Oryzias latipes: one gene and its partner. The protein of the gene in region 1 interacts with the protein of each later gene in a biochemical or structural test. Links are inferred from orthologs where the notes say so. Each region holds a gene or a part of one and is shown in the gene's direction. Other genes may lie near its edges.

Region 1 (6,538 bases):
AAAACTAAACTAAAAACTAAAACTAGTAACCTGATAGTAGTAAAACATTTTATTTTACTGAAAAAGAAATAAAACTTAAAATGGTAAAAATGAAAACTTAAAAAACATTAAAAACTGAAACAAGTAAATCCAGACTAGAAAAAGCCTGAAAGTTTAAACAAACAAACAAAAAAAACCTTAAAACCAATACAAAATTATATTAACCCTGAAAAACACTAATGAAAATTGAATGGTTATTAAAAAAAAAAGATTGAATAGAAAAATAAACAAGTGGTTCATGCTGGTGGTCTCTTTGCTGTTGGTTCTGGATCCTCTGCCTTTAGCCTCATTCAGCTCCTTTTTCCTCTCTGTCAACCTCTACTCCTCACGAGGCCTGTCAGCACATTAATATAAACCCAGAGGAATTCACTAAAAATCCGATGCACATAAACTATGCAGGAGCAGATACCTGGAAACCATCCTCCACCTGCTCACCTAAAACATAGACAAGACAATCAGTCGTGGAGCGCGCGCTCACTTCAGCCACCGTACTCGCTCCGCGGCCGTCAGCCGACACCGCAGTCGCGCGCCCGAGGTCATGGGGTCAACCAGCCCAACAAAATAGAAACTAAGTGAAAGATCTGCGGGACATTTCAATTTCCTGCCTACTTGTATAGCGCGCTGCACTCCAGCTCTGCTTCAGCGCGTGAAGGGGTGGGCTGGGGCTGCCTGGTGTATGTGAGGGAGGGGCATGTTCATCAAAAGTTCTAAATTGATCTTTTTCGTTTTTATGAGTTATTATTAATTGATGGGTGGTAAATTAACGTGTCGGAAAGGCTTTCACATATGTAAATGGACAAAAAACACCTTTGACAAAACGGGCACCTGGGAAAAAGGGGCAGGTGTTTGAGGACCCTCAGTGACCCCTTGCTTCCTGGACGTGGACTGCAAAAGGGATTTTTAAATGATCTTTTCCAACAAGCAAAGACATTTAGACGCCCTAAATTTTTTTCTTGACAATCGATCTTCAATTTGATATAGCTTTAGAGTAGGCCCAGTGTTTAAAAAGAAAATTCTGGCTGAGGATCAAGTTATCTAAATAGTTTTATGGCATAATATTCAATGACTTTAAGTTAGAGTTTGTTAAATGTGGGGCCTAATTATCCCCATTCGATCCTGTTAAGTATGTCTTCAAAGAGAAGTACTAATGTTGTTTGTTTTTTTTGTTTTTTTGTCAGCACTAGTCTCGTTTTTGCCACTTTGTTGCTCTCGAAAAATAAAAAATGAAAAGCACTGCATTCTTCATGCATTGCAAGGCACAGAAACCCTTTAACAAGTTTGAACTGAATTTTTCTGTTAATTACAAGCAACTGTTTTTGCATTTTATTGCAAGCTGTTAAAGTTTCATGTGACGTGGAAACTGTTGAAAGCCCATCTATTGACAAAAAATAAATAAATAAATAAATAAATAAATAAACAAAAAGATGACAGTATGCTTGCAGCACAAAACTAGCACAGCAGAAATAAAACATGTAATAATTGTTATGCAAATTTAATCAGTTGCTCCATTAAATGCAGTAGGCCTAAATGAGAGGTTGGTTTCCCCATTTTTTTAAATTAATACATAGTATTTATTACATCAGTATTTGTGGTTTGTGATTGTGAACATGCAAAGCTTTCAGAAATGTTATTTCTATCTTCGTTCTTAAGCAGTTGCAAGGGGAAAGGGTTAAAGGGGAGACTTTTGTATATCCATAAGGGAAAGCATGAGTGATATGACTAATGGGGATTTTGTGTGCTCCTATTAGGCATTCTTTTACTTCCTGAACGAATGTTTTGGTTCATGAAATGCATTTCTTGTTTGTACACTTGCATTCAGATGCTTAAGGAACAAAAAAACAACAACAAAACAACAACAACAAAAAAAACAAACACCCATGCTAGAAACATCCATTCATTGTCTATTGAGTGACTACATTGTAATTTAAATCCCCGTTTTTTGACTTCCAGGCATCTCCTTGTGCAACACTGCATATAATTATTTATTCCAAATATGTACCTAAGTATGTAGCCTACATATTATATATATATATATATACACATATATATATTTTACATTTTACTTACAGCAGTTAATTTATCGTATTGGCAAAAATGATAAAACGCTGTCCTATATTACTACGTTGCCAATACGCAAAGCTTTATTGAACCCGGAAGATCAAACTCAGGACACTGGCGTCATGGTCCATTTCCGGAAGATCGTTTCAGCTTTCCTACAAGAAAGAAAATGGAATCCTGAGATCGCTTTCGGTTAACCCAATCAATTTTAAGAGAATATTAATCTAAGGACGGTTTCCTTTCATCACACGTCTACTATCAACATCCTACAGGTAATATTATTTTGTCACACATTACATTCTATTAATTGTATTCATACTGAATGTTTGAGCTCGTTCTGATTGCTAACGTCACCGGTTGACGTCGCTTGCTGTGTTAGCTTCTGGTGATGCTATTAGCTAAATGTACATGTAACTACTGGTCGATATAGTAAATACACCGCAAAAAACGTCATTAATGTCTAATATTTATTTTTAGCTTCTAGACAAAAAGTAAAAATGAACTTGGTTAAGAAAAAAAACTTTGGATATGTTAAAGAAACACTTGGAAGCACGCTAAGTAGCCAGTAGCCTAGAAGTTAAGTAGCCGACTAGCTAACAAGGTTAGCTTGTTTGTCATCTTATAGTTGGGGTTTATTCTATTTTAAAAACATAAAAAATGTATGGACCTATTTAAATTTAACGATTTAACTCTATGGTGATCCTTCACAACATATGTTGGCCCCTTTTAATTGTAGTAATGTGGTTAGCAACCCAACCCAATGCTAATTGGTTGCTAGGCTGGCTAAAATGTACGATGCCATTTTGTTTTTATCTCGACTTTGACCAACGTACTGTCTTTTTGTTGACGTAAAGACACGGGGTTTGCGGTATTAGGCTTTTGTTTTTTGTTGACTGGCAGCTGTGCGTGTAAATGGGATCGAAACTGAACTATTTGAGTGAGGAGAAAATCAGATTCAGACTGCTTTTGTTGTGTAAATATTGCCTGTCATTATGGTAAATGTGCCGTATTGGCTTTAGAGTAGCTGCAACGTCAACATTTACAATGATGTTTCTTAGATTTGTTCTTTTCTCGTTTAACGGTAGCACAAGTGGTATTTAGACTTGTCTGCGTGGTTTTTAAGGGGAAAAAAACACCACGAGGCTTTCGGCAGAGGGAAGTCACTAACGGAAACCTACTCTGTTCTGCGGCAGCAGAATCTTGCTGTTAGTTCGAAACCATCCCGCTGATCACCCCTGCGCATCATGGAAGGGTCTGACGGTGTCGAACAGGGTGGCAGTGACCAGCCTGAGTCACAGCGCAGGAGGCAGCTGGATCGCCTGGACAGAGAGGAGGCCTTCTACCAGTTTGTCAACAACCTCAGTGAGGAAGACTATCGGCTAATGAGAGACAACAATCTTTTAGGCAATCCAGGTACAGATGAATGAAAATTATAATTATCATAATAAATTTTACATTTGCTTTTCGTCGTGTACATTTTTAACGGTGTGTAGCACTTGCATCTCTTGATCTTTTGTGTCTTTATAAACTTAATCCTCTTGGCAATGTTGTCATTAGTAAAACCACAATAAATTATCATATCAGTCACTTGGATGTTACAACCTCACTTATTATTTAATATTACTACATTCAATTGATAAAGACTTACAAATGTTATAATAATTCAGTATTACTTTGTATCCCCTGCCTCTTTATTAGTTATGACATCTGTAGAACAACTATGTAAGCTTTTAAAGTCCCCATCCGGACTTCTTTTGCTCTATTATAAAAGCGTTCCTAGTGGTCTTTCAATTATGATTATATGGTTCTTAGGCAAAAAAACAAACATAAAAACCAGTCGTTTTTTTTTTAAGACGATTTCATTAGACTGTTGGCATGGAGTGAGGCTGCCTTAATTTTCCATCATCCCTTTGTTTATGTGCTTTCCCGCTAGCTTACAACCCCAAATTAACGTTATTGTGGATAAAAAATGATGGAGTTAGCCTGCCATACAGTTTTGAGTCAGATGCCAGCTCAAATGAGGAGAATGAAGCCGTACATGGATCTGTATAACAATAAAACAGAGCATGTGGCCATACGATTATAGAGTTTACCTAACAACCACAAGCTTTTTCAAATTGCATTTTTTTGTCTGCTCCTTATTCTCACTGATTTGAATAAAAAAAATGGAGAGGAAGTATTAATTTTAAATTATTTGTACTGTATCCACCCTCGTGAAAAAAATGCTACAAAAACATGAAAAGAAACACCAAAAACACAATTTTTCTTAGAGTGAGTGTTTACAAATGTAATGTAGGTATCATTTTGTATAGTCAAGACTCACAAGATGAATTTGGCATTTATAAACACAGATCTTAGTTGAATGTTACATACTTGTTTTGTTTTAAGGGCATTTAATGGCATTCCTCTTTTTAATGTGTTTGCATTCCTGAGTATGCTCGAAATGCAACAGTCAGCGAGCAGTTGGAGATGTCCAGTCTCTGTCTGTCCTCAGAGTGAGAGGGGGAAAGTAAGTTTGGACCTTTAATGGGGTATCCTTCAACTTAGAGGGGAAGGCAATAGATGGAGATTGACTTGCCCTGGTAAGTCTGGAGGCTTTTCCTGCTCTTCTGTTGATGTGTTCAAAGACAACACAACAGTGAGGAGAGTACGACACTTGACATGAGTTCCTTTTTGGTAGGAATATTTCATAAAATACAAAATCAATTCTGTAGCTTGAACATGTCCCAGGTGACTTTTTTTTTTTTTTGATTTGAAATGGTTTATTTCAAGCAATCAAATAGGACTTCATTTCTTTAAGCTCATTAAACCTTTTTATTGTAGAAGAATGAAGCTATTATTTTTGTTTTCCCAGATGGTCTTTGGTAAAAAAAAAACTAATCCAAGGATTTTCAAGAAAATAGAAATGTCTTGGTCTTAATTTTCTCTCATTTATATTGCAGGAGAGGTCACAGAGGATGAGCTGATTAGTCGTCTTCAGCAGATCAAAGGTGGTCCGGAACAGCAGAGTAACAACCCTGCTACTGAGAGTACTGAAGAACCAGTTGGTAGGTATTGTTTTTTTTCTCTTTTTTTGTTGCTTTAAAACTTTCTGTCAGATTGAAATTTTTTGTTTTGTTTTGTTTCCCAGAACAACCAGAGAGCTCTGAGGATCCTCCAGGTGGGGATAGCCTTCTTGATTGGCTGAACACAGTGCGACGCACAGGCAACACAACCAGAACCGGTCATCGCGGGAACCAGTCATGGAGGGCTGTGAGCCAGACCAATCCAAACAGTGGCGATTTTCGCTTCAGCCTGGAAATTAGTGTGAACCGCAATCTGGCTGAGCAGCAGGCGGCTGCTGAAGCGGAGCAAGAGCCTCCAGAACAGCCTGCTGAAGGTCAAGATGTGTCTGTCGAACCTGAAGCACAGGTTCCCATGGAAGCAGAAGTGGTGGAAGAACCAGTTGTTGAGGAATTGGCCGTCCTTGTGGAGCCAGAGCCTGAAGTAGATGAAGTAGTTTCACATCAGGTTGTAGAGGAGCCTTCCAGTCCACCAACGCCGCCGCCTCCACCGCCTCCTCCTGTTCAACCCCCTCCTTGTTCTTCTCCACGTAGAGGACAGAGAAGAGCTCGCAGCCGCAGCCCAGAACCACGCAGAACTCGTGCCCGCCTTGCTAGGAGCCGGTCCCCTCTCAGCTTGGATCAGCTTGATGGCATTCCAATTCCGAGACATGATTACAGTTCTCAAAGCTCGAGTTCTTCCTCAAATACTCCCACTGTGCCTCCAGTGGAGGGCAGCTCTCGGACTCGACAGCATATTCTTTCACGTCAGAACTTTGCTGAAGGGGACGTTTGGCCACCCAGAGCTCCTGCTGAACCCGTCCCAGAGTCCCCAAATGCTGGGTCTCAGGAAGGAGAAACTGCTGGGGGTGAAGGTGGGGAAGCTGGTGAAGGCGGTGCAGCGGGGCGCCGCCCTCCCACCATAATGCTTGATCTACAGGTGCGGCGCGTGCGCCCCGGTGAATATCGTCAGAGGGACAGCATCGCCAGCCGCACTCGCTCACGCTCACAGAACTCGAACAACACGTTTCTTTACGAGAGCGAGCGCGGTGGATTTCGCAGGACTTTCTCGCGCTCCGAGCGCGCTGGCGTGAGGACCTACGTTAGCACCATTCGAATCCCCATCCGAAGAATCTCTGACGCAGGTTTAGGAGAGGCAACATCAATGGCTCTTCAGTCTATGATTCGGCAGATCATGACGGGCTTTGGCGAGCTTGGCTACCTCATGGATTCAGACTCTGACTCCTCGGATTCAAACCGTGCTGCTGGCACGCCTGCAGACTCTGAAACCCTTAATAATCCAGATGTGAATAACACTGACTCTGCTGACGTGGACGAACAGCCGGTTGCTGCTGGAGTTAGGGGAAGGACAGTGGAGGCTGATGCGGATGAGGGCCTCG
Region 2 (5,958 bases), on another chromosome or scaffold:
TTGTCTGAAATTGAGGAATAGTTTTTTTTTTTTACTAAGCATTTACAAAATTATAATTTGTCCATGCATTTTATGTGAAAATCATTAAAGTTTTTAAATGTTTTAAAAAATGGACAAAGCATATAAGCACAGTTTAGCTTATCTGGTATAAGAAATTCATAAATTTGCATAGTTTGATTTAAACCTGCTACGATGCATTTTTGTCAGATCAAAAAGGGGGGAAAAACCACAATGCTGCCCTTGCAACAGTGTGCCTTTTTATTGAATAAATATCCCAGCAGGCTCATTTAAATGCGGCAGAGTTGTGCACAGTCAAGTTTTATCTCCCCATCTGTTTGCTGGAAATTTACTGTGCAGATTTATGCAATGAGGTAGTGCATTTTTTTGTGCAAAAAAACAAACACGTTTATTTAACTTATGTCAGGGTGCAATTACTTGGGCAGCATCCATTTAGGTGATGGTTTTGTGTTTTGTCGTGTTGGCGAGCTGATATGCAAAAAGGGTGCAGATGATGCCAGTATAGGCAAAGACAGGGAGATGTATTAATTTATGTTAAATTAAATACTTCTATGCAGTGTGTGTATTACTATATTTGATGCAAGGTCTGTAAACAAAGAATTAAAGGCCTTATTATAGTTTTTTTTTCTTGCACAAGAAGTGGATATAATAAGAAAACACATTTTGACTGACTCTTAAAACACTTGGCTTAATTCTTTAACCCAATTTATTTATGTTGGGATATATTTTTGTGTTACTTTATTTTATTTTTTTGCAATAAAGTTTTTTTTGTTTTAGTATAGCTCCATTTACCCAATTTTTCTTTTTTCTTTTTTTGGTTTTTGAGGTTTTTATTTTCCTGAGTTAGAATAATACATTTTAATATATGTTAAAAAAAACAACTTCAGTTATTTTTAGGAGTTTTTGGTCTGCATGAATTGAGGAATACTCATTCATACACAAAGAAAATAACCTATTTTCATTTGGAGCTCTGCAAAATTATAGAAATGTTTATTACCTTTTGGAAAGTTTGACCTTATGGTAAAAATACAGTTAATAATTTTCCTTTACTTGTTTATATTCTGGATTTATGGTTGCAGTGACAGCGTGGTATGATATATTTTTTGTCATTTCATTTTTTTAATATACAAATTCTATCCAAAATATTTCATGTTGATGTTTTTATTTTTCTGAAGTCTGACACTCTTGTCTTTCCTTCAGAGGCAGACTCGACTGCAAAAAGGCCGCGAACAACCATCACTGCTAAACAACTGGAGACATTGAAAAACGCTTACAATAATTCCCCCAAGCCGGCCCGCCACGTCCGAGAGCAACTGTCGTCAGAAACAGGCCTGGATATGCGGGTGGTTCAGGTATTATTATCCTGTTTTCATTAAACCTGACTTCAGAACAGAGCTGTGGGAACAAGTGCGCATGCTGGTTATTGAATTTACGGTCAGATGAGGTAGAATGAAGTCTGCATGAAAGTCAGCTTGGTTTAAGTGCACGGTCGTTAACAATGCTAAGAGGGGTCCCCCACATATTGTCTGCTGCTTAGGAGCCTCAGAGTGGCTGCTAGGTGTTGGGTCATATATATTGTTTTATTTGCAAGGACAAAAGTAAGGGTCTGAGACCACTCAAAAGCTCCTCATTATGTTAGGGAAAGGGCTTTCTCAAGGTGGAACATCTTAAAGGGGGACGTAAATTCTTGTTTATGTGAGTGCAAATGACTGACTTTGCATGTAAAATCAAAAAGTTTCAATTAACACAATTGAAACAAGTAAACTATGGTTTTTGTGTCAAAAGTTAGAGTGGAAAATTTGGACAAATCCAAGTGAAAAATGTGAAAATGGATCTGCTCCTTTAGGGGAGAGTTACTTGCAGTGGAAGTTAATGAAACGCGTGATAAATGTAATATAAGAGAAGCTGGTTCAAGGATTACTGCCCCATGTCTCCCTCTGGACTCTGAAAGGCAAGCAGTGGTGTCTAGACAGTCTCTGAACATTTATTTTGTCCTAATGCTCTACATCCTGACACATGTATCAGGACCATAAAAAAAAACTATGCTTGGTATATTTGTCCTCAGGACTAAACAGGAAATCAAGCAATTAATTACTAATATTTAAAATATGGATTTTAATTTCCTCTGAGTGTTTCAGAGCACATTATGATCAATAAATCTTTGAAGTATTATTTTTCCATAAACACATGTAATATTGGTAGATGCACTGCAAAAACAACCCCATAGATATAAGTCAAATTTTTCTTTAATTCAGCAAAAATATGTCCAATGGGGTAAGAAAAAAATGACTTACCAAGAATTCTTATTTTAAGAAAAAAATCAAGTCACTAAGATATGTTTTCTTATATCTTCTTGCAAGACATTCTTTTCTCAAAACAAGGGCCTTTCTACTTTCTAAAGATTGAGATTTTTATAGTGTTGTTTGTCTGATCAATGACCGACATTTTGTTTCCTTTTTATTTTTTATTTTTTTCTAGGTTTGGTTCCAGAACAGGCGAGCTAAAGAGAAAAGGCTGAAAAAGGATGCAGGGAGGCAGCGATGGGGACAGTACTTCCGCAACATGAAGAGGTCGCGAGGAAGCTCCAAGTCCGACAAAGACAGCATCCAGGAGGAGGGCATGGACAGTGACGCGGAGGTGTCCTTCACAGGTAGGGTCACAGAATAAAATTAAGCAAAAAAATAAATACCTGAACGTGACACATAACCGGCACACTTTAAACTCTTGGTTGTGTCCAAAATTCCTTTAGTGCACTATGTAGATTTTCCATTTTGTCTGGATGTCCGAATCTACAATTCCAAAATCGAGTGCCCTTGATATTTCCCGGAGGTCTCTGTGAAAGACAGGTGGGCATTGATGCTCACTATTGGTGAATATAGACCGCAATGCATTGCGTTTGAATGATTTGTTATTTAAAAAGAATTATGTTTGATTTTTTTTTTTATAAATTATCTAAACTGTCATCATCAGAACACAATGGATTCAGAAATAGCCTTCGTACTATGTTCATATGTTTCAGGGTTTTACTTCGCCAAATGGGTGACGTCATATTTTCTATTTAATAAAAAAAAAAGTGGTGAGCATGTGCTCAAACTGGATTAAAATCCAGGGCACTCGTGGCCCCACACTAAAGACTAAAGTCTTTTAGGGGTTAAGGGGTGGTGAGGGAATTTGGACGCAGCCTAGAACTCAACAAATTTCTTTTTATACTTTTTTCTGGTGCTTTCTTTTGACAAGTTTTCTCGCTTTGAGCCTTTTTTTAAGGAAATCGTAGATAAACACTAGATTGTCAACATTTGTTAGACAGAGTTTCCATCTTCTGTTCTAAAAACGTTCTTGGAAAAGCTGTACTTACAAGGGAACACATCTAAAATTGATGCTTCTGTAAAACTCAAAAATTTGCCATTTTAGTTGTTTTTTTGTAAAAAAAAAAAAAAAAAAAAAGTAAATTCATAAATGCAAATGTATTTATATTTTAAGCCCCTATACAAACTTGAATGATGAAAAGAGCTAGCACACTTATTTATGTTTTGGCACAACCTATAGAAAATGGTCTCCTTTTTTTTTGTTTGTTTAACCAACCCTTTAAGGAAACTTTTTGAATTTCTTTGCAACTGTGTAAACAATCTTCAAGGGTTACAAAAGAAAACTATACATGAAGAAATGCAACCACGTATGCTATTTTCATCATGATCAACACATTGTGCTAAAAAATATTGGATGAATGAATAAATATCCAGCTTTGGACAATTAGTTTACACAGTGTAATTGGGAATGCATTTTACTACAATTTTTCCATATTTTAAAATAACTATAATTGTTCTGAATGCAAAGAAAAACAGATGATGATTGCAAGAAATCAACAACAGCCTAAAATGCTTAGAAACAAATAATTTGTGTCACTAATGTATAATAGTGTTTTTTATTTGAAATGTAAAAATAATATTAAAGACAAAGAATGGGAAACTCTTTTCACTAATTTTATTCTACCAAGTCTAACTCATGTCTTTAACTTGTTTTTGTCGCCCAGATGAACCTCCTGTTTCAGAGCTTGGCAATGCCAATGGCATTTACAGCAGTCTGAGCGAATCGTCTCCAACGATTGGGGGCCGCCAAGGGGGTAACAACCACAACTCCTTTCCATTGGAGCACGCCGGGCTCCCCTCTCAAGACCAGTTCCATGACATTCGCTCCAACAGCCCCTATGGGCTCCCTCAGTCTCCGAGCTCCCTGCAGGCACTACCCCGACACCAGCCCATCATTTCCAGCCTAGTCTACCCGGACTCTGGCCTTTCCATCATGACCCAGGGCGCTGGGCCTGGTATCAACCCCACCGTCCGGGTTTCCATGGGAGCAGCCAACGGCCCCAGTTCCGACCTCTCCACCGGCAGCAGTGGGGGTTATCCAGATTTTCCTGCCAGTCCTGCGTCCTGGTTAGATGAAGTTGATCATGGCCAGTTTTGATCAGAAACATGACTCTTTTCATTTAGCTTATATGCTGGAGGCGGAAAAATGATGTCATTAGACCTTAACAGTCGCAAACTGAAACACCCAGTCATTTTTTTTTTTGTGATCTAAATGGAGGAAATAAAGAAAATGCCCCTCATTCAAAGCACTTGAATTAATCATTGTTGTTTTATTGTATGCAACATAAGCAAAAATAAATAAAATCTAAATTTTAGAACCACTATAAGCTCTTTTAGAACAAACTGAGTTCTTTGCGTTATTTTTTTTTTATTGCTCTTAGTTAACTGTTCAAGTGAAGAACTTGAGTCAACATTGGGTCTTTACATGTCCGGTTGTTGCCAAATGTCAATATATAAATATATATTAATGGTTTATCATCACATAGACTTTATTTTTATATACCCCCACCCCCCTTTCCTCCTTGAATGTGACTGAAAACCTAGAATTTTGTTCATTCTTAAACACGGAATTAGGCAGAAGTCTAGATGTTGTCTTAAATGGTGCCTAGGTGTCCAATTACTTCTATGCATTTGTCTGTTGCAGATGTTTCTTGTTCGTTTCGTTCCACCAGAAACAACCCCAAGGATGAACTGTAACTGCTGAGGGGGGGGCGCTCTGATGTATATGTTTGTTTATGTGGAAAAAATGTTTTATGTATTATTTATTCTCTCTGGTAATGTTGGTAATTCATAAGTGAATTGCAGGATTTTAATAAATTTGTCACCTAATTCAACAGGAAGGTTTGTCATTTTTGTTGTTGGTGCAGAACAAAAATTGTATGGAGGAGACAAGGTGAATGAGAGAATAACTAAAATGAAAAAAATAAAGATGAAATCAGAGGGATTTTTAACAGGATTTTTTTTTTAAAGAGCATTTTTTCAAAAGTTATACTATTCACTCAAATCACAGATCGTGGGCATGATTTTGACATCCTTAATGTCGGCGGCATGCAGCAACCTTTATCTCTGGCAATGAAACCAGAACGAGCCTGCAGTCTTCACTGTATCTGCAAATTGAGCATTTGGCCAACTCCCAGCACTGTATCGGGGGTTCAACAGCTCTTTAGTGGAGAAATTTGATGCAGTCCACTCATCAATTCAGAGATTACTGGGTCCTGTTTGCCCAAATACCCCTATGGGAAAGGAATCTGCAATCCATTATCCAAGAAGGGATCGGGTGCCCCTTGTGAATTTCCTCATTTGTTTAGTTATTCCAAGTCAGGTTCAATTAAATAGATTAAATGGTAAATGTGTGTGTGCGCCTCTGTGTTTGTGTGAGAGGGAGAAGGTGACCACATGTCCGTGTGTTGCTATTAATGAGTTCCATCAAACAAATATCGTAATAGATGAAAGTACAATTAAAAATGAACTCAATATTTTGTCTTGTGAGGAAGTTGTGTTGGAATTGTTTTCAAAATCTTGTTAGCTTTCATAAAAATTGGTTGATGGATTTTAATTAGTTTGCAAATTTCTT

Evidence for each region.
Region 2: the proteins of rlim (region 1) and lhx3 form a complex in vitro, tested with the Homo sapiens proteins (2 studies listed by BioGRID). The link is inferred for Oryzias latipes from reciprocal best matches to the Homo sapiens genes RLIM and LHX3.

What each region holds. Positions count from the first base shown.
Region 1 is NC_019868.2:17,952,121-17,958,658, forward strand, and holds the start of rlim (E3 ubiquitin-protein ligase RLIM), read left to right. Parts: upstream 1-2,213; 5' UTR 2,214-2,369; intron 2,370-3,220; 5' UTR 3,221-3,341; coding exon 3,342-3,510; intron 3,511-5,039; coding exon 5,040-5,144; intron 5,145-5,227; coding exon 5,228-6,538. UniProt on the Homo sapiens protein: E3 ubiquitin-protein ligase.
Region 2 is NC_019870.2:10,782,675-10,788,632, reverse strand, and holds the end of lhx3 (LIM/homeobox protein Lhx3), read left to right. Parts: intron 1-1,218; coding exon 1,219-1,373; intron 1,374-2,496; coding exon of another isoform or gene 2,497-2,505; coding exon 2,506-2,668; intron 2,669-4,048; coding exon 4,049-4,482; downstream 4,483-5,958. UniProt on the Homo sapiens protein: Transcription factor.